Linked DNA regions of Caenorhabditis elegans. The protein of the gene in region 2 interacts with the protein of the main gene of each other region in a pairwise test. Each region holds a gene or a part of one and is shown on either strand. Other genes may lie near its edges.

Region 1 (10,146 bases), 5.9 Mb from region 2:
TCGATTCCGGAGAGCAATTTTAACAATTTGAATGGGACCCTGGAGAACTCAAATCTCAATAGCGCAGAAATCAAGGAAGAAGACGAAATTCCAGAACTCCGTCGACGAGTCACAGTTGACCTGAATCCAATGATAGTGAGCAACAACGAAATCGAGCGAATGAGCCATGCCTCTTCGGATCCTAGAGGATCCCAGATCATCGAAGTAACGGCGGTGGAGAAGAAAGCGCCAGTAAAGAGAATCAAGTTCCCACTGGGCGCGAAACAAAGTGAACGGGGATCTCAGCACAGGACAAAGGCGAAAGTAATAGCACCTCCAGAGTCACCGGTTTCGGAATCTGGATCCAAGGATTATCGATTTTAAGTTACCGAAGTTATTCTAAAGCTCCTCGCCTGCCTTCCTTGTGCCTACCCACTTTCACAAACCCCCGAAAAAAAATTTTCAGAGTGCCCGACATTTTCTGGGCTCACATTTTCTCTGGAAACCCTTGGCATGCCGAGTTCAGAGACCCATGACTTTAATGACTTTGTTTTCTTGAGTACTGTAAATTTAATTACTTATTGCCGACGCAAAACGATCTATAAAACATCCCCCCCCCCCCATAAAATTCTGGGGGTGTATATGGTGCTTCTCCCCATCTCTCACTCACTCACTTCTACCGGTCACTGTTTTCATAAATTATTGTTATTTCTTCAATGAATTGGTTTACATTTTCATGTTTCTTCTTCTTTTCAATTTTGATCTACCAAACCTTTGCAAAAAGGCTGAGCCCACGAGAAAACCGGATTCTACGAGCAAACTGTGGAAGATATGTGCCAGGATTTACCACTTTGTCCTCTCATCGCAGAACTTCTGAGGAATACAAGGCATTGTACGGTAAAGAAGTGAAAATTGGTGAAGCCCCATGGGCGGTCTCATTGGCTATGAAGAAGCGAATTTCTGATGGCTCGGGATCTTTTAGAAACGGCGGAAATAAGTTTTCGGAAAATGAATTTGTTCAGCATGGAACCGGAACATTAGTCTCTCCATGGCATATTGTAACAGCTGCTCATTTGATCGGAATCAGTGAGGATCCTCTGCCTGACTGTGATACTGGAAATCTCAGAGAAGCGTATTTCGTGAGAGACTATAAGAATTTCGTGGCATTCGTTAATGTGACATGTGCGGTTCCAGAGATGTGTAAGGGATTGCATAGGAAGGATATGTTCAAGCCACTGGCGATAAAGTCGGTGAGTAGATTACCCTTACAATTAGGCTTAGGCGTAGGCTTTGGTTTTTTCTTAGGCTAAGGCGTAGGCCTAGTCTTAGACGCAAACCTAGGCTTAGGCTTAGGCTTAGACGTAGGCTCACTTAGTCTTACTAAACACATATTTTCTTTACAGCTCTACATCCGAAAAGGCTATGTCGGAGATGGTTGCATTGATCGAGAATCATTCAACGACATCGCCGTGTTCGAATTGGAAGAACCCATCGAATTCTCAAAAGACATATTCCCAGCCTGTCTTCCATCTGCTCCAAAGATCCCGAGGATCAGAGAAACCGGATATAAGCTTTTTGGTTATGGAAGAGATCGTAAGTTCCGATTTTTATGTGATCTTTTGAAATTTTTAATTCCAGCTTCGGATAGTGTTTTGGAGTCTGGAAAGTTGAAATCGCTATACTCGTTTGTTGCGGAGTGCTCCGACGATTTCCCATATGGCGGGGTGTATTGTACGTCGGCAGTGAATAGAGGATTGTCTTGTGATGTTTGTTTTTAAAGTTTAAAAGTGTTTCTTCAGAAGTAGGCAGAACAATGCCTACTTGCCCAAGATGCCTAATAGTTTCCACTGATTCCAGGGTGACAGTGGCTCGGGAGTTGTCCGAACATCGGACACTCGAAATGTTCAAGTTCTCGTAGGTGTTTTGTCAGCCGGAATGCCTTGTCCAGAACTCTACGATACCCATAATCGTCAACGTCAGCAACGGAGACAGCTGACTCAAGAGACTGATCTTCTCGTGGATGTCTCGGCACACGTGGATTTCTTCTGCACGTGCTGTGGAATGTGCAGTTGAAAGTTTAAGATTCAAACATTTCATTTCGTTTTTAATATAAGAATGCTGAAATAAAAGTGAACGTTGAGTAATTAGTTAATTTACACAAGAAAGTTTTTGAAAAATCTGATTTCAATTCAGTCCTGCATCTATTCAAGTTTGCGATTGGCGTTCTGAAAGTTCAAAAATTAGAAATTCACATCTCTATCACTTACGTAAATGTTGATTTGATTCTTGAGCTGTGCAGTGAGCACTTTTCCAAACACAATATGATTGTGAGACGCGAGGATTTTTGCGGCGGCAAGCGCGGCCTCCGATGGGTCCAACACTGTAGTACACCCGATTCCATTCGGCATTCGGAGTGATGACCAAATGTCAAGACTCGTTGATTCACTTGGTGGCGGGCAGTTGATCACCTGAATTCTTTGAAATAAAGATCATCTGATCTTTCAAGTCCTACCGGAAGAGACGAGTTTCCAGCAATAACTGGACCGAGTCCATTGGATCTTCCAGCTACTGCAATCACAACTGTCGGAACTCCACTTTCTTCGAAATCAGCGATAACTTCCAGAGTGTCCGAGGTAGTTTTATGAGCTGAGCTTACTTTCAGCGTAGTTTCCAGTCCAAATTTCTTGGCTTCATCAGAGATTTTCCGTGCGAATACGCCATCCGAACCAGATCCCATGATCACAAGAACATGGCATTTTTGCTGGTGTTTTGAGAAGGTGGCAGTGATATCCATAACCTGGAAATGTTATTGGTAGGTAGATACGCCTTCGTGTCTATGTGCCTGCCTACCTACTCAACGTGTCTACCGAAAATTGTAGGTATGCATATTGGCAGAAATCAGGTGCAGATCGCCTTGCAGGCAGGCAAGTTATTGTGCTTACACGAAAGGTTTGATTCGCGTAAAAATCTAACAATTGATATATAGGATGATTGAATTTAGGTTTAGGCTTAGGCTTAGGCTTATGCTTAGACATGGGCTTAGGCTAAAACTTAGGATTAGGCTTAGTCTTTGGTTTAGGCTCAGGCATAGGCATATGCTTAGGCCTAAGCTTCGGCCTACTAACCTTTGTATAATTCTTCAAAACGAGAGCCAACCCCTCTTCTGTCACTTCCTTCATATCCCTGTAAACTTGCTTATCCAACTGCAGACGTCTATCATTTTCAGGCCAAACTCTCCACGAGTCATTGTCAATCACGTCGGCCAGGAGAATTTCTCCTTCAACTGTGACTCCGAATTCGATCTGGAATTTTCAGGTTTTCTTCAAAATTATTTCAAAATTACAACAACCGACAATTGTAAAATTCAGCGAAAAGAAAAACACACTTCTCCTCGTGAAGTACTCAAGCTGCGTAAATCGACACGTTACAGAAAACACCCAGTTTTAAATGGTGCTGATTTCCTTTCAAAATGTAAATATTTACAAAACGAATATATTGCAGACCGAACATTAAACTTACATACTTTTTATTATGTTTACTTTTTAAAGTTGAGACCGATAAAAAAAAAGAGAATAATAAAAACTTTGCAACACCCTCACCTTCATATCAATCAGAGCACTATTTGAAAGAGCCCATCCTTTCTCCAATGCTCTAAACACCAACTTTGTCATCTTCTTCATCAATGAAATCTCTTCTCTTCCAATTTTCAAATGATCAATCATCAAACCATTCGACACAATTTGTTCATCAGTCCATTGTGGATCATCATTAGCGTCGTCTTTGAAAAATGTCTCCAATTTCAGATCATTAAATCTGAAACCCTCTTTAACTCCAGGATTTCTCTTCAAGAAGGATCCTGTCGCAACACGTCGTGCCACCCATTCAATCGGAATCATGGTGCATTTACGGGCGACAAATTCAGTTTCAGAGATGCTTTTTTCAAAGTGTGTTGGTAGACCGAGAAGTTGAAGATATTCAAACACGTTTGATGTGGTTTTACTTGCGATTCTAGACTTTCCTTCAAGCTCATTTTTACGGACAGCGTTGAATGCGGTCAAGCTATCTTTGGAACGAATGAGCACATAATCCTGAAAAGATTTTGTTCAGAAATTGAAAAAGTTGGATTCAATTTTGTTGAAAAGCACATTATTATCGCAATCCAAACGGAAAAATTCAAATAGATTTCAAATTTACGAAATTGACCGAGTTTTTTCTAGGCTCCGTGAAAGCTCAGACACCGTTTTTACAGGAAATTTTCCGTACGTGTATTTGAAAAATGTGCTGAAAGAGTGGCCGAGTTTTCTCATTTCCTAGGCCACAAGCTGGCTATTTGCGGCGTGGCCTAGAAAACGTGAAACCTCGGCCACTCACCGACAGTGAAAACCGAACATTTCTTTCAAAGATTATTTTGAGCATACTTCTGAAAAATCTCTTCTGATAATTCGGTTGGCCGAGTTTTCGTGTTTCTAGGACACGCTTTTCTGAATATTATGTAGACGCATAAAAATGTGACTTGGGCTGCAAAAGCGCGCCACGGATAACTGAAAACCGGGTCTCGTTAGGTATTGGCGGTAAAACCGTATAATCCTACTTTTTTGCCGATTCCAGCACTTTCCAATCATTTCTCGTTGTTTTTAACGATTTTTATGTTGAAAAATGCAAAAAAAATTGGGTGAGATCGTCAAAAATTCACGTTCCCAACGAGACCCAACGTTTTGGGGCGGAGCTTGTCAGATTACTCGCGGAGCGCGTTTGCATCACGATTTCAAAAGGCGCTTTTAAAATATCTAAATTTTAATCTATAAAGCATTAAAAAATTAGTAGAAAATTAATGTTTTCCCAAATTTTTTGAATTTTCAGTGAAAAAAACCAACCTTTTCTCCTTTAATATCAAAGATTTGCTTGGTTTTTCCTTCAGCAAGAAGCTCCAAGTTTTCGGGTCTCGACGCGATTTCAGCCAACGACGACATGACAAACAATAATAGTATCGAATGAAACTGTGTTGCTATCACGGAACGATATCAGAACCCCCTTGTAGGCGAGTTTGTCATCGACAAACATCTTGTTTTCAGCCTTTTTCCCCGTCTTATCAGTTCGGTGTTGCGCCACTGAAAATACAGAGAAAACCGCCGCCGCCAGTCATTGTGAAGCTCTTTCTTTGAAAAATCACAGGTTTTCAAAGAGCAACTTGTGTATATCGATAATCGTTTATACGAAAACGTAGAGAAAAGAGGAAAAATAAGGAAAACGAAGGAAAAAAATGGGAGATTGGGAGAGAAAATGTGGAGAGAAAGAGGGGAAAAAGAGATGGAAAATGAGAGAGAAAGGGAGCAATTCGAGAACAAGATGACGAAAGTGGGATATAGAAAATTTGCACACGAGAGATCATCTTCTTCTTGTTTAGTTTGGAGTAGCTCGCGCCGCCGATGGAACGGCTCCCGGTTGCACATTGATTCCTCCGATTCCAGCTGCTCCAACACCACCACCACCCATAACTCCGTTAAGACCCGCTGGTGCCGGTGGAGTGATTTGTCCGCCACCGCCGCCACCTGTGCCGAGCGTCAAGTTATGCATCTGAAGCATCAGACCCGTCTCCGGACCGCTCGGAAATTGTGGTCCTTGGAAAAAGTATTTGTAGGGTGTCGGTTGTCCGGAAACTGATTGCGGCATTTTCGGCCGATCCTCGAGCTCTTTGTACTCCAACTTTAACTCTTTCGGAATTTTTCGCCATTGCATCTGATCGAACACGTTGTAATGCCCTTTTTCATAATTTCCCGTCTGTTCTTTCACTCCACCGTACTGAGAACGCGTCAACCACACCTGTTCGCTTTTGTGAAATCGCCATTCGCGAGCGTACCTGCAAAAAATTTGAAAATATAATGATTGTTTCGTGATAAAAAAGATTTTCTCAATTGCTAACATAAAATATATGTTTTTTTCAATTTTCTAGCTAAAATTTTAAAATTATTAATAATTTGATTCGTGAACTTCGACCGCGACGTAACTGCAAACGGAGCGGCTCAATAATTTTTATTTTAACTTTTCGCTAAGAACGCGTGATTCACATGATTTTTCATAAATTTATATATGAGGCGAAATAAGAATCAACTAAAATGATGAACAATTATGCGATCTTAACGAAAAAGCGGATTTTCTTGAAAGTTTTTCGCCCAGAACGAGTGATTTTCTATCATTTTGGCCAATTTTTTATGCGTTTCATATGTAAATTCATGAAAATCACAAATTCTCGGGGAAAAAAAAAAACTAAAATAAATTTTTTAAACACGACGCTCCGCTCGCGGTCATGGTCGATGCAGGTTTTTGGAATAAACTTTACTTACAATTCGCACGCCGCCGCCACCTGATAAATCTCGTTTGGACAGTTGTAAAAAAGATAGAATAACACGTCTTCTGAAACTTTATTCAATCGCAGCGGTGGAAGTTTGTCTCGAATATGATTATGCGTCATGTACTCCTCGGGCACCTTCACGTCGAGCTCGTGTGCTCGAATCGGCGAATCGGCCCACGGACCACCAAAGTTCATGTACAATTTTCGTCTGAAACAGAGGGAAATTAGAGTTTTTCTGGGCTTTTCGGGCTTTTCAGGCCACTACTCACTCTGACAAATTCAAATTCAAGCCCAACGTCGTAAGATCATAACCTAACGCCAGTGAAACAATGGAAGGATTGTCAACTGTCCGAAGATATGTCACCAAACCCGCCATCCCAAACTGATCGTCAAGCATTGACGCTGGAATGTTTGTCACTTCGCCTGAAATTAACAATTATTATTTTAAATGCTTATTTTTAAAGTATTCCCACCATCAGGATGAGTAATAATCCCATGCATAGGTCCTTCTTGACTATTTCTTGATATCCCGCTGAGCCGCGAGGGGTCACAATCGCCTAGGGGTCCAGCAAAGTCGACTTGATGGTCGTCTGCTAACATCTGCAATAATTTATCGATTATTTGATTGTCATCGACGCAGAAATTTTGTTGACATTAAATTAAATTTAAGTACGTTAGCCAGTTGATCTCCAAGCATTGATCGCTGTGTTTGACCAGAACCGACGCCGGGAAGCGCGGGAAAATCCTCGTTCTGTATTTGGAACTCGGGATTTGTTAGACTGGGGTCCGATCTCATCAGGTTAGCTGAAAATTAATTTTTGCATGGTTTAACAACACAGGAACACGACAAAAACTGCGAAAATTCGGAGAATTTTTATGGAAATTCTGAACGAAAAATCTCTGCGGGGTACGGTCGATCATGGAATACGCAACCACCGTCACGGACTTTTGCACACATTCAATATTGATTTTTCTTAAATAAAAAATAAAATTTTCCAAAAGAATTCGGCGGTTTTTTCTCGAATTCATCGGAATTTTGCAGTAAAAATGAGTAAATTTTATCAGAAAATTTGCGTTTTGCCTAAAAACTCACGGAAAGAAGTTGCCAACATCGAAAAATTGCACAATTGCGTTCAAAACAGAATGAAACACGCATTGTAATTTTTAAAATGTTCAATCAGAATTTCGCGCGCGCGCATTTTCAAAGAGCAAACAAAAATTGATTTAAAAAAAAATATATATTCGCGGTTCACAACCAGCTATCGTACTTTTTTTTTTAATTTTTGATACTTCATGCTTTTCATCACACAGAAAGAGAAAAAAGTAAAATTTACCATAATTGGGTCTTTGTGCGCCGTAAAGATCTCTCGACGGCGATGACTGGGCAACGTTCAAAACACCTCCGCTCGTTGTTGGGATTGGGGAGAATCCGCCGCCGCCGAGTGAGGACGTTCCTGAATAGAAATCGATGAAATGCCTTGAGAAATGAAATAATTGTTCTAATTTTTTTTAAATATTGATAAAAAGGATGAAAGATTCAAGGAAAACATTTCCGTGGACTTCCACACAAGCAGGTCAAATTTAATATTTTAATTTTAATTTTTTTCCATTTAACAATAAGAATGAGAGTTCGACAGTGAGTTTTTCATAGATTTAAGAATATTCTCAAGCTAATAAAAAAAAATCAGTGAATTTACCTTTCGCGCCCAGTGATGGAAACTGGGACTCGTCAATAATTGTTGCGTTGGAGTGAAAGTTGGAATGCGAAAGAAATTGCTGCGTTTGAGGCAATCGTCGTTCGGTAGCTACTCCACCGACTGAAAATAGGCTTTGGTTAATTTTAATTTAAAGTTTTCTTTCTGAATTTAAAATTATTTTCATGCGATCGATAATTCGAATTAATCGATTTTCCGCATGGATTTATTCGGATGGGTCTCGCCACGAACACACTTTGATATTCACGGTTTTTTTCGACAAAAACGTTAATTTTCGAAGGATTTCTCACGGAAATAAGACGGAATTATTCCCCAGGCTCAAATTTTTGCACCACACCAAAACTCGACCCGGAAATGTTTTTAACGCGAAAAGGTGTGTGCGCCTTTAAGAAGTATTGTAGTTGAAAACTTGTGTTGTTGCAGAATTCTCATCGATTTTTATTATTTTTTCAACCGATTGTTTCCAAATTGAGTTTTTAGAATAAACAAATATATTTTTGTTTGAAAACTATGAAAAATCGATGAAAATCTTGCAGCAACAAAAGCTTGAAATTACAGTTCTCTTTAAAGGCGCATAGCCTTTTGCATTTAGGGAAAATTTGTCGTGTCGAGACCGGGAGCCGTATTTTTTGACGAAAAACCGTCTCGGTAATAGGAAAGAGGTTCAAATATGAATTTTGGTTCACTGGCAGGGTCCATCAACAGGAGAGCTTTTTCATCCAGAATTAAGATCTTCGCGGCGAGACCCAGATATCTGAAACCTTCAAAAATCAAAACTCACCAGAATTCATAAGCACTGCGCTTATGGTAAATCCTATGCGGAGAGATGGCTACGTTCTACTCATAAATCTGAAAGAAAATCGATTTTGGTCACCAGTTTCGCATGCGGTTTAGACGGGACGGGGAGGGGTAGATCAATTGAGAAAACATCTGAAGTCGAAGAAGCGTGTCTAGAACACGATGTTGATGATGAAGCTGATTCACAAAAAAAAACACAGTCACATGATGGGCTGAGATGATGATCAGATCAGAATCCGAAAAATTCAGTGCGGTCGTGGTGTTCGAAAATCGAAGAAAGCAGCGGAGAAATGAGAGACGACGACGAGAAATCGAACAATGCTGTGTGTGTATTTCCTACTCACTCTCTCTCTCTCACGTACCCTCTCCTCTCCCTCAACCATTTTCTCTACTGTCTCCGCCGCTCTCTATCTCTCTTCTTCTCCATTTTTCTGTCCCCCATAGAGGCCGGCAGTCAATAGGGGCTGCAGTGTTACCGTACCCCCGAAAACCTGCAGATCAAACACGACGAGATAGTGTGTCGAGTGGAAGAGGGCGCGGAGATGCACGCGACTGCTCGCGGGCCGTACGATCGAGCGCGTTTGCTACTGAAGGGGGGGGGGGGGGGAGGGGGGGTTGGTTGACCTGACCTCTCTTTGCCTCTCTCTCGAAAATGGAATGAATGGGAAGAGATAGAGAGTTAGGAGAGAGGATGTGCAGAAGCACAGAGAAAGCTAATCAAACCGAATGTGGTCTTTTAGTAAAAGAAGTGAGAACGATGGACCCATGAGCACACAAGATGCTCCTTCCTCATTGATTTCTTCCCCCTCTCCTTACTCATTTTTCACTAAATCGGTCAACTGGAAATTTGTGTATGTAGCATGCTTCTTCTGATCTCTAAATCTCGGCCTTTTCTGGCTTTACTACAAAAAAAAACCAAAAAAATTGTTCAAAAAGCTCGTAAATAATTTAAATGGGGTTCGAGCAAGACACAAGGCTATGTGCTCATTTTGTGAGTATTTATTTTATGGTGCATCGTTCAGTTATGCAGCTAGATTTTTTTTGGTTTTTTTTTTAGATAAAAAGATGTTAAAAATTTTGGAAGAAAGTAGTTTTTGGTAATATGTTTTTCTACCATAAAAGTTGTGTGCCTTTTATCCCAATTTTACAATTTTGCACAAAAAATACGGTACCAGGTCTCGACACGAAATTTTTTTTGAGAAATGCAAGAAAGCGTGCACCTTGAAAGAGTACTGTAATTTCAAATTTGTTGAATTTTCCTTAATTTGTAATGATTTTCTCAGAGTTTGTCAATAAAAAAAAAGT
Region 2 (12,424 bases):
CTATATCTCCTTCTCTTTCTCTATATTTCTCAAATTCCGCAACATTTCTCCCTTCTTGATTTTGTTCATTTACAAATCGAGCTATAAAAATCAATAAAAACTTAATTTTTTTTCCAGAAATGGTCCTCATCAGTACCCCACCACCAGCTTACGCTCATAACAGAAAAACATCACAGGAGAAGAAACGACGAGATGAGATTAATGCAAAGATCAAGGAGCTTCAACTATTGATTCAAAATGAATCGGATAATGAGAAAATGACGTGAGTTTTCTATTCGTTTAGTGTTATCTTCATTCAAATCTTACTAATTTTCAGCCAAGGTGATGTCTTAAACCGTGCAGTCGAAGTGGTCAGTCGCATGGAAACCGAATCACCTGGACCATCATCAAATCCAAATCGCAAAGGATTCTTTGACGGATTCCGATCAATCGAGTCGCTCACTTATTCCTTCATCAAATCCCTGGGCGTCAATTCAGATGTCTGTCAGGATTTTGTGCAACGTGCCAAGCAGTTTTTCGATCGAGAACGTTCATCTTTGCTGAGCACTGTATCTGGAAAATCAAAGAGAAGATCTGAGTCGGAAATTCTCCACTCTTCAATGAGCTATAGATCCCAGTCAAGCTCTCCATCGACATCGGAATCTGGAATCACAATTGATAGAAAGGAAGTGAAAAAGAATAGAGAGCAAGATAGAAGAGATCGTCAGGGAGAAGCTTTTGATGCTTTGAAGAACTTTATCATTGAGAACAAGCTCATGACATCTCATCAAGTGTAAGCTTAAATTTTCCCAATACCATAAATTAAACTTTTCCTTTTTTCAGCGAAAAAATGCAACGCTTGAACACCCTGGATATCATAATTGCCTACATTCAAAACAAGAAGCACAATTTTGTTAGTCGAAGCGACCAGGAGCAGTCACTCTATGCACATGCAATTGCAGAGGGAAAGAAGACTGCAAAAAACATTGCCTTCCAATTTTTCAAGGTGAGTTGTCAGGAACTTCGAGAAGATTTTTTTAAATGTTATCAATATATTTTCAGAGCGACCGTCACCTCGTTGTCCGATGCGCAGACCTTGAAAAGTTCTTCGAATTCTCCTTATCACCAAAGCCACTCTTTGGATTCCCATCCATGCCCATCCCAATTCCACCACCATCATTCCCAATCTTCCCATTCCGGCCATTCCCATTCTTCCCAATGCCAATGGCACCAATGGCAACAAGTCCAAAATCTCAACAGTCTCCATCATATTCACTGGATTCTCCACCACCATCATCCGATACTTCTTCGTCATCAATCGAAACACCATCCACTCCAAATGAGAACTCGAATTCCAATCCTAAAGCTTCAAGAAAGAGTAAGCTGTTCAGACCATGGGAATAACTTTTCTAAAAAATATATCTCCTTTAATTGTAATTTAGTGTTAAAAGTATATATTCTTATTAATAATTTATCAACCTCAAAATGTTATCGACTTTTTCAACTTATCATATCATTATCATCTCACAACCAAAATCTAGTTTTATTGTCACGGGCTATTAAGCTTACCGGTAGGTTTTATAAATCCTTAATTGTTGTTTTCCCTCAGTATTCATAATATTTATATTGAATTTTCCGATTTTCAGTGATTTTGAAGATTAAATGACTGCAGAATAAAGTATTTATTATCTCTATTATAGTGTTGTATTCTGGTACCTTGTTTCCCATGGCAATTGGTTGCTCATTGCCACGTGTCTCGATAGAATGATGTGACAGTTTTTATTCTCCCACCACCTTGTTCCAGACAGACGACTAATTAGTGTTTTAGTGGGAAATGGTTAATACAATGATACTTCTAATTCAGAGGGTTTAAATCCACAAGGAAAGTATTTCCGCTCTAAATTGAACTTCCGAATGTAACCTAGCTATTTTTTTCTTTGTAAAGTTGATGCCTTTTGAAAAAAACATGTTGAACATTTTGCAGATTTTTTTCAACATATAACATTTTTCGAAATGGCTTCCGGATGATAATCTAACCCTAAACACCCTGAAGCATTAAAAATCTCCATTAAAGTGAATGCATTTTGAATTTAAAGCTGAGTTTGAAATGTAAACCTTTTTTGTGATAAACAAATATTTTCGAATTCCTCAAAAGTTCAAATAAGAATTGCCGATCTTTGAGGTTTCTCTGTTGTTTCCTGCGAATTGTCATCTCGCCGATTATTTGGCCGTTCAGTATTTAGAAACAGTACATTTTAGCCTGGTGTGCCCCCGATACAAACTTCCTTTGTCATCTTTTCTCATGCAATATTTTCCAGAAAAGTTTTGTATAAAAATGCACTGATGCTGGAAACTCAATTTTTGCCACAATTTTTTCCCGAAACTTTTCGCATCTTACTTATAAATATTTGTACTTTAGTTTAGTAAGTTGACATTTACAAATCAAAAGTGCGTAAAACTTTTTTAATGCGGAAACCCAGAGAAAAAGTGTGTTCGGACTGTTGAGGCGATTGTCTCGAAGTTGTTGGCGAACCCGAACCGGTCCGCTTTGTTTGTCTCTCAAAACCTCTTCATTTTCTTTTATCTATCATATTTCACCTATGTTCTATACACCCATTCACCCCCATTTTATGTATGTGAAAAAATGAAAATTTGCATCTGAATTCAGAATATTTTTGTCGTTTTTTATAAGCATTCCTTTTAGGTGTCAATTTTAACATCTCCAAGGAAAATGGTTTCGAGTTTTTTAAAAATTTATATTTAGAAAGTCTGATAACAATACTTTATTTTAGGATTAATGTTAAGATCCGAAATTTTTTCATAAATGTATGGCTTCTTCCGCAAATGCAAAACAATTGACACGACTCTAAAAGTTTTCTTTTTTTTCTGTGATTTATATGTGATGTAATTTTTCTGTGACTTTGTTGCATATACATATGTAGAGTTTAAAATAATTTTCTAAAAAATCAATCTTGACAATTTTTCACTTATATGTCTAAAATTTTTTTGTAAATTTAATTGGGTAAGTTTATCTATGATACTATAATTTTTAAAAAATCGGGTTACAATAAAATGTATCACAGCTTTCGTTTTTCATTAGCAAATACTTTGGAATAGTTATAGAAAACTTTTAAATGATCATAAATGTCTTCAAAGTAAATAAATACAAATATTGAAGCGTCTTCATTCCAATGGAATGAACAAATTGAAAATCCGATAAAGATTTAATTGAAAAATATTGGAAATGCTCCTCTTCTTCTTTTTCACATTCACATCGTCCATTTCTCTTCAATCAACCAAAGCGATTCGAATTTTGTTGAAACAATATTCTTTTGCTCTTTCTCTTTCTCTTCCAGTTTCCAGCCCTTTTCATTCAATTCTCTTTTCTATGTGTGAAGCACCAAAAGCACAAAACTCGAGGAGCATTTTTCTTTATCAAAAAGGAATTGTGAAAATTTCCCAATTTAGTCTGAATTATTTTTCCACACACCGTTATCGAATTGTGCTCCTCGCCGTGGCTAGTATGACGTTATCATACTGTCATTAGGTCATATGTATTATATTTCACACTTTTACTTTATTGTGCTCCTTTTTTCTTGAAATGTCATTCTTTTTTCTTGCAGTTGTAGAATTTCCGGAAACTTTTTTTTCTGAAAATATAGGAATAGGGAGTTGATTGGGTTATTGGAGCTCGAATTAAACTGAGGGTAAATAAGTTTTTAGGAAATAATTTTGAAGGGCTGTGGTGCTTTTGTCAAAATATACGCGATTTTTTAAAAACCAAATATGAAAAAAAAAATTTCAGTCACGGTTTTGGCAAATTTTCAAAATTTTGAAAAGTGTGATTAGTTGAGATATTTCAACTATCCTTGCACATTTGAGCCAATCTTTAGCACAAAGAATTAAAGCATAAAACACATTTTTGCCGGCTTTCAAAATTTTGATAGATAAATAGTAATTGTTATAGAAACTTCTTTTGCCAATTTTGCAGAAAACTTTCATAATCTCCAATCGCAATTTTCTTGTTGAAAACCTATTCATTCCTCTAATAGAAACTACATTTTTAAAACTTATTTATAAATTAATTGGAAAAATTCACAAATATCCAGGCAAATAAGACATCTTGTTTAAAAAAATGTAATATCTTTCAATATTACTTGAAGCCTTCCCAGCCGCTTCTTGTGAATTTTCTAAAAATTTCTAAGCGAACTATTTTAAAAAATTAGATTTTTGATCAAGTTCTTGTTTTATATTCTTTGATTTTTTTTTCAAACGGGAAAGTATGATTGATAGTTTTTTTACCGGAAAAATACAACAATTTTTGATAAGAGATTATTCATTTTAACAACTGAATTGCATTTCACTAGTTGAATAAAATAACTTTTGTTATGAGAAATTGAAGAAACACCACATTTTCGTAATTGCTTATAAGTTTTAAATTAATTTCTAAATCAGAAATTCTTTCAATCGTTCTTTTGCAAGGAAGACCGTTAAAATTTTCTTTTTTATGTGCATCCAATTTCATAAATCCTTCAATTTCTCAGCATGCAACACGGCTCACTTGGCCCATCATCGTCGTCTCGAAAGACTACAGTAACCAGCACAGCGGGCTCCGTTCACCTTCATCACCGCTCTTCAAATGGTTTCTCGACAGCATCACGAGCTCAATTGAACCGTCACAATGAAATGGATTTTGGGAAAATGTTTGCGGCAATGGAGAAAGGTCACAAAGTGTGCAAAATTGCGGTGTTGAAGAAATGGGATCCAGCCTATAAACAATTAACGTTGGATCGGTACTCGAGGCAGATTTTTCTGACAAAATTGGAACTGTCAGCTGTTAGGTAAGAGGATAAGTAACATCGCATGAAATTCATTTACATTTTTTTCAGAAATAAACCGACAATTCTAGATATTCGACAAATCCGTGAAGTACAGACATTGAATTACAAATTGAACACAATTAAAGTAGATGATAAATGGAAAAAGGATCGAGAAATCGTAAATTTTGATTCAAAAGCCATTCTAATCATCTCATATGGAATGGGATTTGCTCTTTCCTATTGGATTCTTTTGTGTGAGTTTTTGTTAAAATAATTATTCAATAGTTTGAAAGAAAAATGTTATAGTTGAAAGTGAGGATGCGTGCAAATTATGGTCACAAGGACTTCATAATTTGATGATGGACACAAGAGATCGAGACTCATCCCCTCATCCATTGAGAATTGAACGATTTCTGCATAAACACTTTTTGAGTTTAATGTCACCGGCTAATGATGCGTAAGTTCAAAAATTGCAGAATTTTTTAATAATAACAATTTTCCAGCGTTGCTCGAAAGCATATGAAACCATTTGTTCAAACCTCCCTCCAATTCAAAGTTCAATCTGATCAGCTCCAACAAGTGACAGAAGATCAAATGAATTCTGATCAATTCAGTTTTGCCAGTCGTCAACTTATCCATGTACCTGAACTCTTCTCTTCAAGATTCGCTGATCTTGCTGAAAAACATGAACGAAAAGGTCTTGTGGTGACGTTTCAAAATTTTTTGCGATTTCTTGATGGCAAACAATTCGATGAACTTGCCTCGAATCGAACGAGAGCTTTGGAGTTTTTGAATCGATATTTTCAAGAAGATCAAGCATATTTTGGAGATAGAAATGAGCCTTCAATGACTGTTTTCGAGTTTTGTGATTTTTTATTTTCAAGGGAGAATTCGCTGTGGGACCCAACAAATGAGAAAGTTACTCATGATATGAGCAGACCATTGTCTCATTATTGGATTGCCAGCTCGCATAATACGTTTGTTTTTTTTTTGGTCTATATAAGTGCTAAACCAGTAATTTAATTCCAGATACTTGACGGGTGACCAACTTCGATCTGAATCTTCTTTGGATTGTTATGCTCAAGCTCTTTTGATGGGTTGTAGATGCATTGAGTGTAAGTTTTAGAGACAATTTTCACTGTTTTATAAATAATTTTATTTTTCAGTAGATTGCTGGGATGGACAGAAGAAGCCCGGGTCAGCCGAGTTCATTGATATTGTCATCTATCACGGGTATACGATGACCTCAAAAATTTTGCTCCGCGACGTGCTTCACGTCATCCGTCACTATGCATTTGTTACGAGTGAATATCCAGTAATTCTATCAATTGAGGACAACTGCTCGGTGCCAGCTCAACGGCTTCTAGCTCAAGAACTGAAAGATATTCTTGGTGATTATTTATTGACACAACCAGCAAATCGTGAAGAAAAACAATTGCCCTCCCCGGCCGCGTTGAAGAAGAAAATTATCGTGAAGCATAAGAAGTTGCCGATAGAAAGCGAGGATTTGGCAGCTGTGGTGAAAACTGATGAGTGTAAGTTTTATGAAATTACTCTAGTTTCCTAGTAGTAAAGGTATAAATCATTTTGCTAAATGATTTTTGTTTCAGTCCAAGACACGGAAATCATATCTCGCGAATGTGTAAAGAAGGGGATCCTGATGGTAAAAAACAACAACAGTCACGAATGGACATCTCATGTTTTCATATTATTCCCTGATCGTCTTTGCTACCTGATTCAAACCGCTGATCCTGAAAATCCAAATGACGATACAGTGAGTGTAAGTGGAGATGAAGAACGGGAAGAAGAGACGCCTTCTGGATTTGGAGTGAAACCTGAAGAAATGCATGTGACTGAAGAATGGTTCCATGGAAGATGTGAACGGGATGAAGCGAAAAAACGGATTCTAGAGCATAAGGAGAAGGGAAATGGATTGTTTATGATTCGAGATTCGAATCTGTTCATTGGAGATTTCTCACTTTCGATTCTACATGACGGGAAAGTTCATCATGTTCGGATAAGATCCAAGATTATTGATAGTGAGTTTTTCTATGTTTTGCATGTAACATGTATTCGAGAATTACAGTAAATAGAAGAGAAACTTTTAATAAAATTTTCAACTTTTCAATTTTTCAGAAGAGAAAAAATATTACTTCATGGATAACAAAGTCTGCGACACTCTTTACGAGTTGGTCTCTTACTACACCCGTCACTACCTCACAACTGCTCATTTCAAAATGGTGCTCACGATTCCATGTCCTCAACCACAACCGCATCTTAATCAGCCATGGTTCTCTGCTACTGCTGACAAGGAAAAAGCCGAAGAACTTTTGAGCTTGGTGCCAGAAGATGGTGCTTTCCTAATTCGGACGTCATCGACTGACTCTTCAGTTTACGTTCTTTCGCTAAAAGTCGACGGCGAATTCTGGCATTATCGATTGAAAAGAGATGGAAGAATTTTCGTGGTGAATCAAAAAGTATTCGAGAATTTGAATCAAATTGTTGAATTCTATGCGAATCGAGAATTTGTTAGAGGAATTAGTCTTCGATTCCCTGTCAATGAGAAGGATATATCACACCTGACAGCTGAACTTGCAGAAGCTCGTACTCCAGGTTGCTATATGGATCTGAAGGATTTGGATAAAGAAGTTCAAGCTCGAGCACTTCGACCGTATCGAGGAACAGCTGATGATGAACTTTCGTTCCCAGCGAATGTTATTATCACAGTACTCCGGAAGGAAGAAGGTCTTTGGAGAGGAAGATATGGATCGTTGACTGGATGGTTCCCTTCGGCCCATGTACAAGAGATTCTACCAGAGAAAGTTTCAACTTCAGGTTAGTTTGAAAAAATTAATGTAAACAGTTTATCTCATAAAATAGCAAGTTTAAATTAAGTAGTCACTATCAAAAAGGGAACTGAATTTCGTGTGGGCTCACTATTATTATTTGTATTCTTTTGAAATAGTTTAGAAGCTGCCAATATATTTAGTGTAGCATCACGATATGGTTTATGCACAATGAGCATCACAATAGTTGAAATCAAACCATGAAGAGATAGCAAGCATAAAGAAATATTAGTTTGAGCTGTAATGAATATAGTAACTAGATTATAGTTTTAAAAGTGTTACCTTGATTATGATACTCCAGAGAAACTTGAATAATTACAAATAGAAATGGAATAAACATTAGTAAAACAGGAATAGTAACTTGAATACAAATTGCTCGAAATAGTCTCTTTTGTAAATTTCTAGTCCTTTCTGATTTTCTATCATCTTTTCCACTTAAATTCATCAAAAGTCGAATGACAAAATAAATAATCTGCCCTTCAATCAATGAACTAGTGATAATAACTGAATAGTGAGTTACACGGACATCCAGAGCTAACACAAAAAATCGATTTTCATCGACTTCACATGGAAATTGTTCCTTAACTATTTTGATAGCTTCCGACTGATTTGGAATACGTAAAATAGTTGGAATGACAAAAGTGAACGCCAGTAAATAGTTGAAAATAAAGAACAGAGCTCGTCTGACTTTTCGACTAGAAAACTCGAAAATAATGGTGTTATAGCGGTTCTCGAAAATGTGAAGAATTGCTACACCGGTTACTGAAATGATAAAATATAAAGTTCCAAATTTCCTGCAAAACTTACAAACAATTACAGTCAACATAACATAAATTTGAAATGGAATATTCACATCCAAATAACCCAGCAATCCCATGGGAAACCCTGACATTGACGGTAAAAGTATAAATGGAGCAACAAATAATCCCATAAATAAATCCATTAAAGTACTCCAAAAATGCAAATTAAATATGACCAATTTGACAAGATTCATTTGATTCGGGGTTTTGCACAAAATACAGTACCCTCCGAATATGTAAATTGGAATTCCAACAGCCGATATTATGTGTAGACTTATTTGTAAAAACTTGGGAGAATGAAAGAATGATAGAGTGGGACAAGAAGCTTGCATTCGATAGAAATTTGAGTTTTAGTCAGATCTGAAAAGAAGAAAAATAAAGTATCATCCCTTCTATGCTTCAATGATTTTTTAAAAATTTGATTATTCTATCAGAGTAAAGTGAAATCAAACATCAAAGTTTTCAGAAACTAGCAACTACAACACAATCGAGCTAGCTGGAACACTAATTGAACGGATTCATGATGCTGATCGTCCGAATGTTATCAGAATATCACAATCAAATCAACATTGGATGAACAAGCAATATTATTTGTTGGCTGCTTCTTGTAAGTTGTTCTTCGAACTGAAATTCTGGGGTTTACAATTTCGACAGGCTACAAATTGTGTTGATATGGCCCGAAAGAAAATAGAAACTCTTTAAAAAAATTTCAAACATTATTTAAATTAAATTTGGAAATTTTGTGACAATTGAAAGCGTACCTGAATCTACAAACTACTACAAAAATTTATTTAAAAAAAATTCAAAACGGAGAAGAAAAAAAAAACAAATTAGATTCACTTTACGCAAATATTTTTCAACCTGGATCCCAACTTAACTTAAACTATAATTTTCCAGCCTCCGAGGAAGCAGATGGTTGGCAAAACAATCTCTTCGAGCTGACTCGTTCAGTTAACACAAAAATGAGCATACTCCGAACCAAAGAAAAAGAAAAACGAATTGCCGCTGAGCTCTCAAATCTAGTCGTCTACTGTCAAGCTGTTCCATTCGACCCAGCCCATATCTACAATGACGCTTTCTATGAAATGTGCTCATTTGTCGAGGGAAAACTTGACAAACTGGTTGAAAAGGGGCTTCTTCCGTTTAATTCCCGAAAACTCTCGAGGGTCTATCCGAACGGAAGTCGAATCACATCGAATAATTATAGTCCGGTTCCAATGTGGAATGCAGGATGTCATATGGTTGCACTAAACTATCAAACCGGTGATAAACCCATGCAGTTGAATCAAGGAAAGTTTTTGGCAAATGGAAGATGCGGGTACCTACTGAAACCAGATTATATGTTAACTGATGACTTCGATCCTACGAACACGGAAAAGTTTGCAACAGCTTATCCCATTCGACTGAATGTTCAAGTGATTGGAGGACGTCATTTGTCAAGAAAAGATAAGAATAAAGGAATATGCTCCCCATTTGTGGAAATTGAAATTATTGGAATGCCATGTGACACAAAAGTTTTTCAAACTAAAACTATAGGTAATTTTTAATATTTTTTTTCCTTTTTAAAAATAAGTTTCTAAATTTCAATTAAAATTTCAGCATCAAACGGTCTTAATCCGATCTGGAATCAAACTTTCACATTTGAGATCCAGTGTCCCGAAGTAGCACTGATCAGATTCCACGTGGAAGACGGTGACTTTGTGGGACCAAAAACAGATCCGTTCATTGGTCAAGCAGTATTCCCTGTTGATTCAATTAGATGTGGATTCCGATCAGTTCCACTCAAAAATCAGTACAGTGAGGAGCTTGAGCTCTCTTCACTGTTAGTTGATGTACAAATGTGCTCCAGAGAAGGAACTCAATTGATCAGGTCGTCGTCGCATTTCTTGCAGGTTAGTGCCCAGTTGAAAAAATTTTATTAAAGGTTTCTTCAGGCGAGTCGTCTGGCTCCTGTCTTCGCTCACCGTAAGATCACAAATGGCGATAGTATCCCTCGTGAGATGGCACCTCGGTTACGAACATCAGCCACCGATCGTTCACTAGACTCTCCAACAAATTCCGAGTCAAGAGCCACTCTTCTGAGCGGCCAACGAGGTAGCCAAGACTCTATGGACAGCGCTGCCGAGTAAGAATTGAAATTTAAACTTTTGTGTGAAAATCTACTTTCAGAACATCGTCCATTGCATCTGGAACAATAAGCTCTCGGGATGGAAAGAAGAAACAAAACTGGCTCAAGAAGTTCTCATTTGGAAAAAGTAGTAAATCATAGATATAAACTCAGCACTTTCCGTTCTGTTTTTTGCCACAAAATTTTGGAGCATTTTTTATAGTTTAAGTTTAAATATACCCGGTTAGTTTCAATCAATACAAGTTACTAGTTACAACTCAAAATTCGATATTTCTCAATTATTTCCGCATTCCTCCAAATCCAAAATGTGTTCATTCCTCATCATTCCTTCCTCTTCTTGTTTAATTTTTTTGTTTTTTGACACTTTTTTTCATTTCAAGTTCAAACCTCATCGGATTCTGCTTTAACTTATGACAATTCTCCCAAACACTTCCAAGTCAATTTAATTAGTTTTGCTGAGATTTTTCTTGTACCTTTTATTATTAATTGTTAATAAAATTATGCATTTTTTGGTAATTGGTAATTTGGTAATGTTATTTTTTAAATTAATTCAAAATTTCTTTGGGATTTATTTGAGACCTAATGCATCGTTTTGATAATGCTGCAAGATTTCAGGCCGATATGGGCCGCCTATTTATTGTCAGCCTAATGGTTAGCTTCTTTTTTTGAGCTACTCAACATTTTCAAATGCAACACAATTTTTATTAGAGGACTCTGTCTTTCTCCGTTGCATATTCGTTTGCCTTCTCCTCTTCTCTATACAATTCAAAAAGTACGATGAATCACTCCAAAAACAACAACATTATATGAAAACGAAATGAAGACAAAAATATAAATAATATAAACAAAATAGTTTGTTTCTTGTTTTCCGGAAATAACGAAAACTCGCCCAAAAATATCAAAGTACACGAAACATTGTAGATACGAAATTGAAATTGAAATCGTAATCGAAATTGAAAACAAGAATTCTGGAAATCGTAAATCTCAAAAATTTAATGGACCGAGTGGGCTGAAATTGGATTTTTAGGGGAAGCAACTTTGATTGGAATTTTGGTTTTTGATACAATTCCTAGAAAATGTTTTTTTTTTGGTAATAAAAATCAGTAACTCGATTTTTGAGTTATTGAAATATGAATCTGAAAACATTGGTAGTTTCAATACAATTAGTGGAAAGTAGTTGTAAGGTTTGGCAAACTCAAAATTGAAAATCTAACTACCGTACTCCGTCCACCATTGTTCACTCTCTTTTCTCTATTCAGAAGTAAAAAGTCATTAAATTTTTTGATGGATATTGTCATATCTTTCTCATTTCTTTGCACATTCCCATGCCCATTTTCAACCGCCGGTATTTGTCCTTACCAGGCCAATTTATGAGATTAGACAGAAAAAGTACAAAGTGATGGGGGAAAAGAGAAGAAGTGCATTTTTCATTTGAAAATTATTTATATAAAACTCGAAAATGTTTATTGTGAGATGCCGAACATTGTTCAATATGGCTCAAGGTAGATACTGACGCCTGGTAGCCAGGCACGGCGCTCATAGGTACTTCTGATTCTATAGCAGCTTACCATGGAAACTCTATCAATTAAATTATTTCCAAATTATCAAACAATTCTACAAGATCCATGTCAATTTTCCACATTTATCAGAAATTCGATGCAAGTTTAGAGGTAATAAATGCCGAAGTGTCTAGAAACATTCCATTTTGAGTTGTAAACATATCTAAAAGTACGCTTTTTATAAAGTTGCATTTCCAAACATGTTTTTTTTAGTATGAACACTTTAAATTTCACTCTACAATTCACGAAAAATACCAAAAATGTATTTGTTTTTGTTGCCAGTTTGCACTTT
Region 3 (8,602 bases), on a different chromosome or scaffold from region 2:
TTTTTTCTAATGTACAAATACGGTTAGTAAATATTGGTTTTTTGACTCAAATGGAGGGGGGGGGGGGAGAACAAATGGCCCACAATTTTAATTTCATCAAAAATATATCTATCACTGATTTCTGTTTTCTGCAGTAATCGGTCTGAAAACCCAAACTTGTGAATTAACTTTTCAAATAAAAAATTTACTGTATCACATGTCAGATATAAATATCTAACAGTTTTGGTAAGTGCTACTGGTTGTGAAATTGAAAAAAAAACTTTGATAGAAAGGACAGAAGGGCTAATAGAAGGGAAAGGAACATAAAAGGCATCTTCAATAAACTAATCCTATTCATGGTTGATTTATTGAAACATCGAAACAGTGGATTGTTGGTTTACTCATTATTAACCTTTCCCCCATTTTTTCCCAATAAATGTGTTGTAATTTCTATTTGAAAAAAAAATTATCCGTATAGATCAAACATCGAACACAATTGTCAATCCTTACGATAAAGCATCCAAATCAAGAATTTATCAAAATATACTTTTTAAAAACCAGTTTATATATTTTAAAAGTTGATTTTCAGTTTTCACTATCACTTTTTTAAGTCCATAAAAATTTTTAATGTAAAATGTACAACAATACTCTCTGAATTTCTCAAAAACCCCATATAAGAAGCAGCTTCCCAAGACTGCTAATTTTGTGCTGTTTCAACTTTTTCATAAATGAAACAGTTTTTTTTTCATAATTTACTCTATGCTTCCTTTTAGCAATTTAATTTGTTTTTGGCTTAAAAATCTTTTTAAAAATTAACTTTATTAGATTACTGTGCAAATGAGTAGCATTTATATAATGTTAGAATTTTTCTTTAAAATTAATATAAAATTAACTAATTATTAAAATTTCTGAAATAATCTGTTTCAAATTCTTCATGAAGGTCAGCTAAGTTACAATGTTTCTATTCAATGTTTCAAATCCTTCATCATAAATTTTATTTTCAACGTTCACTTTTAATAATTTCCATATTATCTTTTGAAAAAAAAAACTTTTTTGGTGTTCTGCATCAATCAAAAAGCCACAATCAAGAACGTTACACTGATTTTAGAGTAAAACCAACAGACCGAACTAACTTTTCACACTTTTAGCTTACTAATTAGATGTAAAAATGAGCATAAACTTGAGATCAAAATTTTAAAAATGTTACCATAAGTTTACTGTTTCAATGTCGGCATAAACTGAAACATTTTCAATTTTTTTACTTTTCTTGACTCGAATTCTTCCAATTTTAGAACATGACCGGCAGTTTTTTGTTCTGGATTTTCGTCACTCATTTCATTCCGAAACTTGGGTTTTTGTTAACTTTAACGTTTGGATTAACACTTCTCTCGTTGAATTATCTGGGAGCCCAGAGAAATTTCGGTTCCTATAAGTACCTTATCAGCGCGTTCACCGCACTTGGCATGTGTTTTGCTACAGTGGAGATTGTTGTGTACCCGGTAGGTTTACTGTGGCGCCCGACGTTTAACGGGTTCCGAAGTGTTGCAACTCGTCAGGTGTCGGCTGCAGCTTTTGTAACTAATTTTAGAACGTGCACAACTTCAAAGCAGCTCTATTGTTCTTCAGTTTCGAAGAATCATTTTGGTTAAGTGGGCCATGGTCGAGAAACATTCCGCTAGGCCAGTCCAAAATCAAGTTTCTCAGTTGAAACTGTAAATTTTCAGCAGGCTACACATTTTTCCATTCTGCAACAATGTCTCTACTATCTGTGCAGTTTATTTACAGATATTGAGCAGTTTTTGAGTGAGTTATTACGTTTACAGTTTCACTATGTTGATTTAAAAGCAGCGGCATTACTAAGCTCACTCGTAGTACGATCAATCACCAGTAACTCTAACAAAAACCTATTTACTGCAACCGACGTCTACCTAAACAAAAATAATTTAGGGAGTTGTCGGGCGCTTATTGCAGCGAGAAAAAAGCACCCGACATCGCCCGGTTTCTGTTTTTTAATGCTGAACCCGGAATATGTCTGGCGCTTCACAAAATTCTTATATTTCAGCACCAACAAGCTCGCCTATTTCAAAGGCTTCTACTCCCTGATCTGGGTCGCCTATTGCTCATTTTTCGGCTTCCAGTATGCACTGGGAACCTATTTCTTTTTGGCGAGAGACCAGGTCTCAGATACAAAATAAACAGTTTTTCAAGACATTGATCCTTCAGGTATATAAATTTTGCTTTGCGCCCGACACCTCATGGGTTTCCACAGAAAACCCGCAAGGTGTCGGCCGCTTAAGTCCGATTACTAAAATTGTTACAATGTAGATCACAATGCCGACGATCATATTATTCATTCCAATAACTGTCATAATTTTCCTTCCTTTATTCAACTTAGATGTGAGCTTGCCGTCTGGAGTAATGCTGTGCAGCTTTACTTTGTATCCAGCCACGGATTCACTTATTGTGATGTATGTCGTTTCGGAGTATCGAATGACTGCAAAAAGTAAGCAAATTCCCAAAACTTTCAGTTGCAGCCGACATCTGGCGGTCTTCATTTTTCCATAGTGTTCCGTAGCGCTTGACTTCTAGCGGATTCAGCATATGTTCACATCGAGAACCCGGTAGATGTCGGGTGCTTGCAACAACCCGTGCAAGAAAAACCTCACAAACTTCCAGGAATTCGAATGATTCTGTTCAGAAGTTTCAAAGAGATTAAACAGTCAAGAGTTGGCACAATCGCGTCAGTAGGAGCAACAAGTTTCACACCAATGCCGCCATGAAAATCAATAACATTCTCATTTCCTCACTATTCTATCTATTTCCTCCATTAAATTTGAAAAAACAAACACTCAGAATATGTGATAAACGATGAAGAGAGTAGTCCGTCACCGGTTTTTCTACCGCCATATGTCCCCTCCTTATTCTCTCCTTTCTCTCTACCCCTTTCGTGTCATTGCACTAGATGACAAAGGAAAATGTGACTGCTTGGCGCAATGGTAGCGCGTTCGACTCCAGATCGAAAGGTTGGGCGTTCGATCCGCTCAGTGGTCAAAGTTTTTTTTTTTTTTCTAAATTTGAGTAAAAACTTAAAGTTATCAATATTATTTATTAAAAAAGTATAAAGAAGTATTGTCTTGTATATACACATAACTGGTGTCACAATTATACATTGGATGACTACATTCTCTTGCAACATTGTCCATTTCCACACGGAGAATAGTTTTGCTGGCAAGAGCAGGAGTTGACTGATTGAGTGAGGCATGGCATCTGGACTAGTTGAGCAGTAGAGCACGATTGATAGCATGATTGGGTGCATGCTGGAGCACATTGCTGCATTGGTTGTTGTTGTTGAATGCATTGTTGTTGGCATGATTGTTGGCATTGTGGAACACATTGAGCAGATTGAGAAACTGAAGGTTCTAGGATGACAGTCACAATTTGTGGAGCAACAACTGGAGATTGGCATGCTGATTGGCATTGCTGACATTGTGGAGCAGCTGGTTGCTGACATTGTGGAATACATTGTTGTTGGCACTGTTGAGTCTGTTGGCACGAAGTTTGACATTGTTGGCAAGCTGGTGCAGATGGAAGTGTGCATTGTGGAGCACACTGTTGCTGGCAAACTGGAGCATACTGCTGGCAAGTATTCTGGCACTGCTGGCACTGTGGAGCTGATGGCTGTTGGCATTGAGGAGCACACTGTTGTACGCATTGTGGAGCTGCTTGCTGACAGGTTGTCTGGCATGGTTGAGTACATTCCTGATAGCACTGTTGAACTGGAACTTGTTGTAGAAGACATTGTTGTTGACACTGTTGTTGGCATTGTGGAGCACATTGAGCAGAGATTCCCAAGTTGACATTGATGACTTGTGGAGCAACAGTTGGAGCACATTGTTGAACACATTGCTGCTGACATTGTGGTTGACATTGTTGAATTGGTTGAGCTTGAACACATTGTTGAGTGCACTTTTGTTGGCATTGTGGAACACACTGGACTGTGACTGGAGCTGGAGCAACACAGGATTGTTCACAGGCTGGCATGCAAGATGGTTGACATTGGACTGGAGCTGGAGCAGCTATTTGAGTATAACAGGAAGACGTCTGACAAGTCTGCTGGCATGAAGATTGACACTCATTCATAGATGGAGCAAATTGACATTGGTTCTGGCAAGACTGCTGACAAGCTGGAGCACATTGAGAAGTTTGCACTTGGTAAGTTACTTGCTGAACTGGTTGGGCACATGAGCAGGATGTCTGGACTGGAGCAGTGTTCTGACACGAACAACTGTACTGTTGTGGTTGAGTTGCTTGTTGGCATGAACAACTTGGTTGAACTTGTGAAGCACAACCACATGATTGACGTTTATCACGAATTGAAGATGCCTAGAAATAATATAATGTTTCAAGGTGTACATATAAATTGTTAACTAATTCTACAGATAATTCAGAAAGTAAGTGAAGCAACAGTAATACAAATCGTACCTCAACAATAAGAAGGCTAGAAACAAGAAGAACTGCTGCAATTGTAATAAAACGCATTGTCAATATGATTGAAGAGCTGCTAAGAGACAATTGATGCCCTTGTTTTAATTTTTCCGACTTTTATACCAACGTCCTACAACCCTGTTTCATTAGCCATCAAACAGTTCCGTCCCACTTATCAAACTCCATCCATCAACCGGCTTCATGCTCAGCGCAAACATAACAATGATAACATGGCAAATGAACCAAAAAACACGCTCGTCGCCTCCCAGTCTTACACACACTATTTCTTGAGGGCACGGCAAGTTGCAAAGATCAAAAAGAGGTTGGGTGCGCGTTTGCACTGATACAGTGTTTTTTTTTTGGATTGCGCCGAGTTTCCGCTTAACTATGTGTACCAAAAAATTTCGTTTACATTTTCAGAAAAGTAATGAAAGGGTTACCTGTTGAACTTTAGAGTTCGGATTTCGACAAAACGATTTTAAATTGTTTATTGCCTTTTGACGCCACTCATTATTAGAAACACCTTTTTGTTTGCTCTCACAATAGCCATTCGAAATTACAAGACTTGAACTCTTGGACTATTTTTTCCGGCACTATTTTTTTACATTGCTATAATCGTACGCAAGCAGTGTTTGAGGGGGTATATAAAGCCTTGATATCTGTGGAAATCATCAAGCCCTGCTTCTTCAACCATTATCATGCGTTTCATCGTATTTGTAGCTCTCTTTGCTTCCAGCTGTCTGCTTATCGAGGTTTGATAAAGTTTCATTGTACTTTCACTTTTAGAATGGCACGACATTTCTAAACTTTTTCAGTTAGTATTTCGGTTTATTAATAATTAAAAATATTATATTAACTACAACAATTTTCCATCACTTGATGAAAAATTCATCATGTACAGTTTTTTCAAAATGTTCTTGATAATACGGTCTAGTTTTCTAAGTGCCCACATCTTACAAATATTTGTTGGACGTAATCGATGTTAGCAACAAAATGCTTGTTTTCCAAGTTCACAGAAGTTTTTTCCAGGCAACATCAATTCGTGATAAACGTCAATCATGTGGTTGTGCTTCACAAGTTCAACCAAGTTGTTCATGCCAACAAGCAACTCAACCACAACAGTACAGTTGTTCGTGTCAGAACACTGCTCCAGTCCAGACATCCTGCTCATGTGCCCAACCAGTTCAGCAAGTAACTTACCAAGTGCAAACTTCTCAATGTGCTCCAGCTTGTCAGCAGTCTTGCCAGAACCAATGTCAATTTGCTCCATCTATGAATGAGTGTCAATCTTCATGCCAGCAGACTTGTCAGACGTCTTCCTGTTATACTCAAATAGCTGCTCCAGCTCCAGTCCAATGTCAACCATCTTGCATGCCAGCCTGTGAACAATCCTGTGTTGCTCCAGCTCCAGTCACAGTCCAGTGTGTTCCACAATGCCAACAAAAGTGCACTCAACAATGTGTTCAAGCTCAACCAATTCAACAATGTCAACCACAATGTCAGCAGCAATGTGTTCAACAATGTGCTCCAACTGTTGCTCCACAAGTCATCAATGTCAACTTGGGAATCTCTGCTCAATGTGCTCCACAATGCCAACAACAGTGTCAACAACAATGTCTTCTACAACAAGTTCCAGTTCAACAGTGCTATCAGGAATGTACTCAACCATGCCAGACAACCTGTCAGCAAGCAGCTCCACAATGCGTACAACAGTGTGCTCCTCAATGCCAACAGCCATCAGCTCCACAGTGCCAGCAGTGCCAGAATACTTGCCAGCAGTATGCTCCAGTTTGCCAGCAACAGTGTGCTCCACAATGCACACTTCCATCTGCACCAGCTTGCCAACAATGTCAAACTTCGTGCCAACAGACTCAACAGTGCCAACAACAATGTATTCCACAATGTCAGCAACCAGCTGCTCCACAATGTCAGCAATGCCAATCAGCATGCCAATCTCCAGTTGTTGCTCCACAAATTGTGACTGTCATCCTAGAACCTTCAGTGTCTCAATCTGCTCAATGTGTTCCACAATGCCAACAATCATGCCAACAACAATGCATTCAACAACAACAACCAATGCAGCAATGTGCTCCAGCATGCACCCAATCATGCTATCAATCGTGCTCTACTGCTCAACTAGTCCAGATGCCATGCCTCACTCAATCAGTCAACTCCTGCTCTTGCCAGCAAAACTATTCTCCGTGTGGAAATGGACAATGTTGCAAGAGAATGTAGTCATCCAATGTATAATTGTGACACTAGTTATGTGTATATACAATACAATACTTATTTATATTTTTGCAATAAATAATATTAACGATCATGTTCATTTATTTTACAGTTGAAAAATAATAAATCAACTTTAGAATGTAATTTTATTTTTCTAAGAGGATAATTTATCATGCTTAACTACCTCTTTGAAATTAAAAACTAGAGTCAGTATCATAAAAAAATTGTTTTTTCATTTTAAAAGACATTTACATCCATAAATTGAGCGTTTTCATTGCGCAGTTGTTTTGAAAATTACCTGGAACATTAAAAAGTGTTTGTTTGCGTCCGTATTGTATTATTTGTTTTCAATAATTTAATAAGTTTTTTAAAGATTGATGAATTATATATTTCTTGGAAGCTTAATTTGATTAATGCTCCCTACTAACTGGCTCGTGTGCCATATTTTGAAGACTGCTGCAAAACAAAAAAAAATCACTGTTCCGTTACTCCCTTAAAAACTCATACCCACATTCGAGTTTTAATTTTTTTTTAAGTCAAAAAAGAAACAAAAAAAAATTAAGCTTATGCTAAAGAAAAACCATTGAATATCACTTATTAACTACAAAATGGAAATTTCTAACTTTTTTTGCAAAGCAGCATTGACAAAATAACTTTTTAGAAATCCACTGTTTCATATAGTTTTTAAAAGTTCGGGTACTTTTACTTTTTTCACTAGGAATATAGCATTAAATAAGCATTTCCCCTCGAATTTTAAACAAAAATTATGAAACCGAAACTTTTTTTTGCTCAAATTAACATAACATACACGTTTCATCTAATCAATATGCATTTGAAAACTGTAATGAGACCTCATTAGCACTCATATAAAAAAGGAAACAGTTCTCCAACCAGCAATAGAAATGGGTCTAGGTGTATTTTTGATCTTCCTGGCGGCTTATGGGTTTCCAGATAGTTTAGCATGTGTTCTGCCCGAGAAAACGTCTCCATCCACTGTTTCAAATACTATTGAAACCGGGGAAATTGTGAAAAGTTCTACAACTGCTAGCTATTCGACAACACTTATTTCTACTACGACCACTAAAATTTCTAAAATTATAACAGAAATATCCCGAACAAAGTGCGACTGTTCATCACCGAATTCATTTAATACAGGTATTTTAGAACTTAACGTCTGTTAGTATTGTAGTTTGTAGTTTGTAATTTGTAGTTTGTAGTTTGTAGTTTATAGTTTGACCTTTGGTTTATCCTGTGATGAATACGCAGCCGACATAAACCAAAGTCTGCGTTGAGCACGCCTAATTTTTTTTGGTTGAGTACAAGACCGTGAGTACTGTAGGATTACTGTATAGATATTCATGGAAAACGGTAAATATCACTATTTTCAGGTTTTCTCAACAAACTTCAAGTCTCAGAAGTATCAGACGACGGATGTTTGTACGAAATTCTTTGCGCCCAAAATCAGCCAAATAGTTATTTGGCGGCCGGTCCGCCATCAGTTTTTACACTGAATCCATACCTACTGACCAGTTTTGTAAGTTTTTGATAGTTATCCGCTTCCATTTTTTCTTAGTTTTCAGAGATTCTATCCGGTTTTCAACGGGGCCAACAAAATCGATTATTTCTCCCAATTTGGTATGCAATGTGGAGATGATCAGGACTGGTATATAACCAAAATCCCTGGAATGGTAGATATTTGGAATTTAAATAGTTTAAGGAAATTGATTAACACATTTTTTTGAATTGAAGGTTGACTTGAGTCCCGGAGCAAATGAGCAGAAAGTCAATGGAACTATGTGGAATGGGATGGGTTATCGCTTCAGAATCACCGAGATGCAATGTTTTGTGCCACTGGGATGATGAGCATATTAAAACATTTTTTCAAATGCAAAATTCAATATCGATTGAA

Evidence for each region.
Region 1: the proteins of plc-3 (region 2) and paic-1 interact in a two-hybrid assay, tested with the Caenorhabditis elegans proteins (one large-scale study listed by BioGRID).
Region 3: the proteins of plc-3 (region 2) and pqn-90 interact in a two-hybrid assay, tested with the Caenorhabditis elegans proteins (one large-scale study listed by BioGRID).

Annotation. Positions count from the first base shown.
Region 1 is NC_003280.10:4,367,567-4,377,712, forward strand, and holds paic-1 (Phosphoribosylaminoimidazole-succinocarboxamide synthase), read right to left. Parts: upstream 4,960-10,146; 5' UTR 4,950-4,959; coding exon 4,854-4,949; intron 4,342-4,853; exon of another isoform or gene 4,272-4,341; intron 4,068-4,271; coding exon 3,579-4,067; intron 3,282-3,578; coding exon 3,105-3,281; intron 2,777-3,104; coding exon 2,492-2,776; intron 2,448-2,491; coding exon 2,247-2,447; intron 2,205-2,246; coding exon 2,181-2,204; 3' UTR 2,059-2,180; downstream 1-2,058. Other genes in the region: Latrophilin-like protein LAT-2, read left to right, coding at 1-363; try-9 (Peptidase S1 domain-containing protein), read left to right, coding at 924-1,229, 1,383-1,572, 1,618-1,745, 1,837-2,052; ntl-2.1 (NOT2/NOT3/NOT5 C-terminal domain-containing protein), read right to left, coding at 5,380-5,836, 6,321-6,536, 6,598-6,751, 6,802-6,928, 7,002-7,132, 7,663-7,782, 8,026-8,145, 8,825-8,834.
Region 2 is NC_003280.10:10,218,354-10,230,777, forward strand, and holds plc-3 (1-phosphatidylinositol 4,5-bisphosphate phosphodiesterase gamma plc-3), read left to right. Parts: upstream 1-4,523; 5' UTR 4,524-4,524; coding exon 4,525-4,820; intron 4,821-4,868; coding exon 4,869-5,053; intron 5,054-5,105; coding exon 5,106-5,256; intron 5,257-5,302; coding exon 5,303-5,776; intron 5,777-5,828; coding exon 5,829-5,914; intron 5,915-5,965; coding exon 5,966-6,334; intron 6,335-6,409; coding exon 6,410-6,838; intron 6,839-6,935; coding exon 6,936-7,634; intron 7,635-7,664; exon of another isoform or gene 7,665-7,689; coding exon of another isoform or gene 7,690-7,883; intron 7,884-7,927; coding exon of another isoform or gene 7,928-8,407; intron 8,408-8,452; coding exon of another isoform or gene 8,453-8,777; intron 8,778-8,911; coding exon 8,912-9,052; intron 9,053-9,342; coding exon 9,343-9,981; intron 9,982-10,044; coding exon 10,045-10,337; intron 10,338-10,379; coding exon 10,380-10,570; intron 10,571-10,614; coding exon 10,615-10,714; 3' UTR 10,715-11,087; downstream 11,088-12,424. Other genes in the region: Regulator of fusion ref-1, read left to right, coding at 120-262, 317-772, 823-985, 1,042-1,383; srh-135 (Serpentine Receptor, class H), read right to left, coding at 7,690-7,883, 7,928-8,407, 8,453-8,777. UniProt on the Caenorhabditis elegans protein: Mediates the production of the second messenger molecules diacylglycerol (DAG) and inositol 1,4,5-trisphosphate (IP3) which plays an important role in the regulation of intracellular signaling cascades.
Region 3 is NC_003282.8:15,286,745-15,295,346, forward strand, and holds pqn-90 (Prion-like-(Q/N-rich)-domain-bearing protein), read right to left. Parts: upstream 4,519-8,602; coding exon 4,462-4,518; intron 4,445-4,461; exon of another isoform or gene 4,423-4,444; intron 4,393-4,422; exon of another isoform or gene 4,363-4,392; coding exon 3,157-4,362; downstream 1-3,156. Other genes in the region: pqn-91 (Prion-like-(Q/N-rich)-domain-bearing protein), read left to right, coding at 5,163-5,216, 5,494-6,699; Y73F8A.10 (Fibrinogen C-terminal domain-containing protein), read left to right, coding at 7,596-7,848, 8,082-8,227, 8,274-8,381, 8,443-8,553.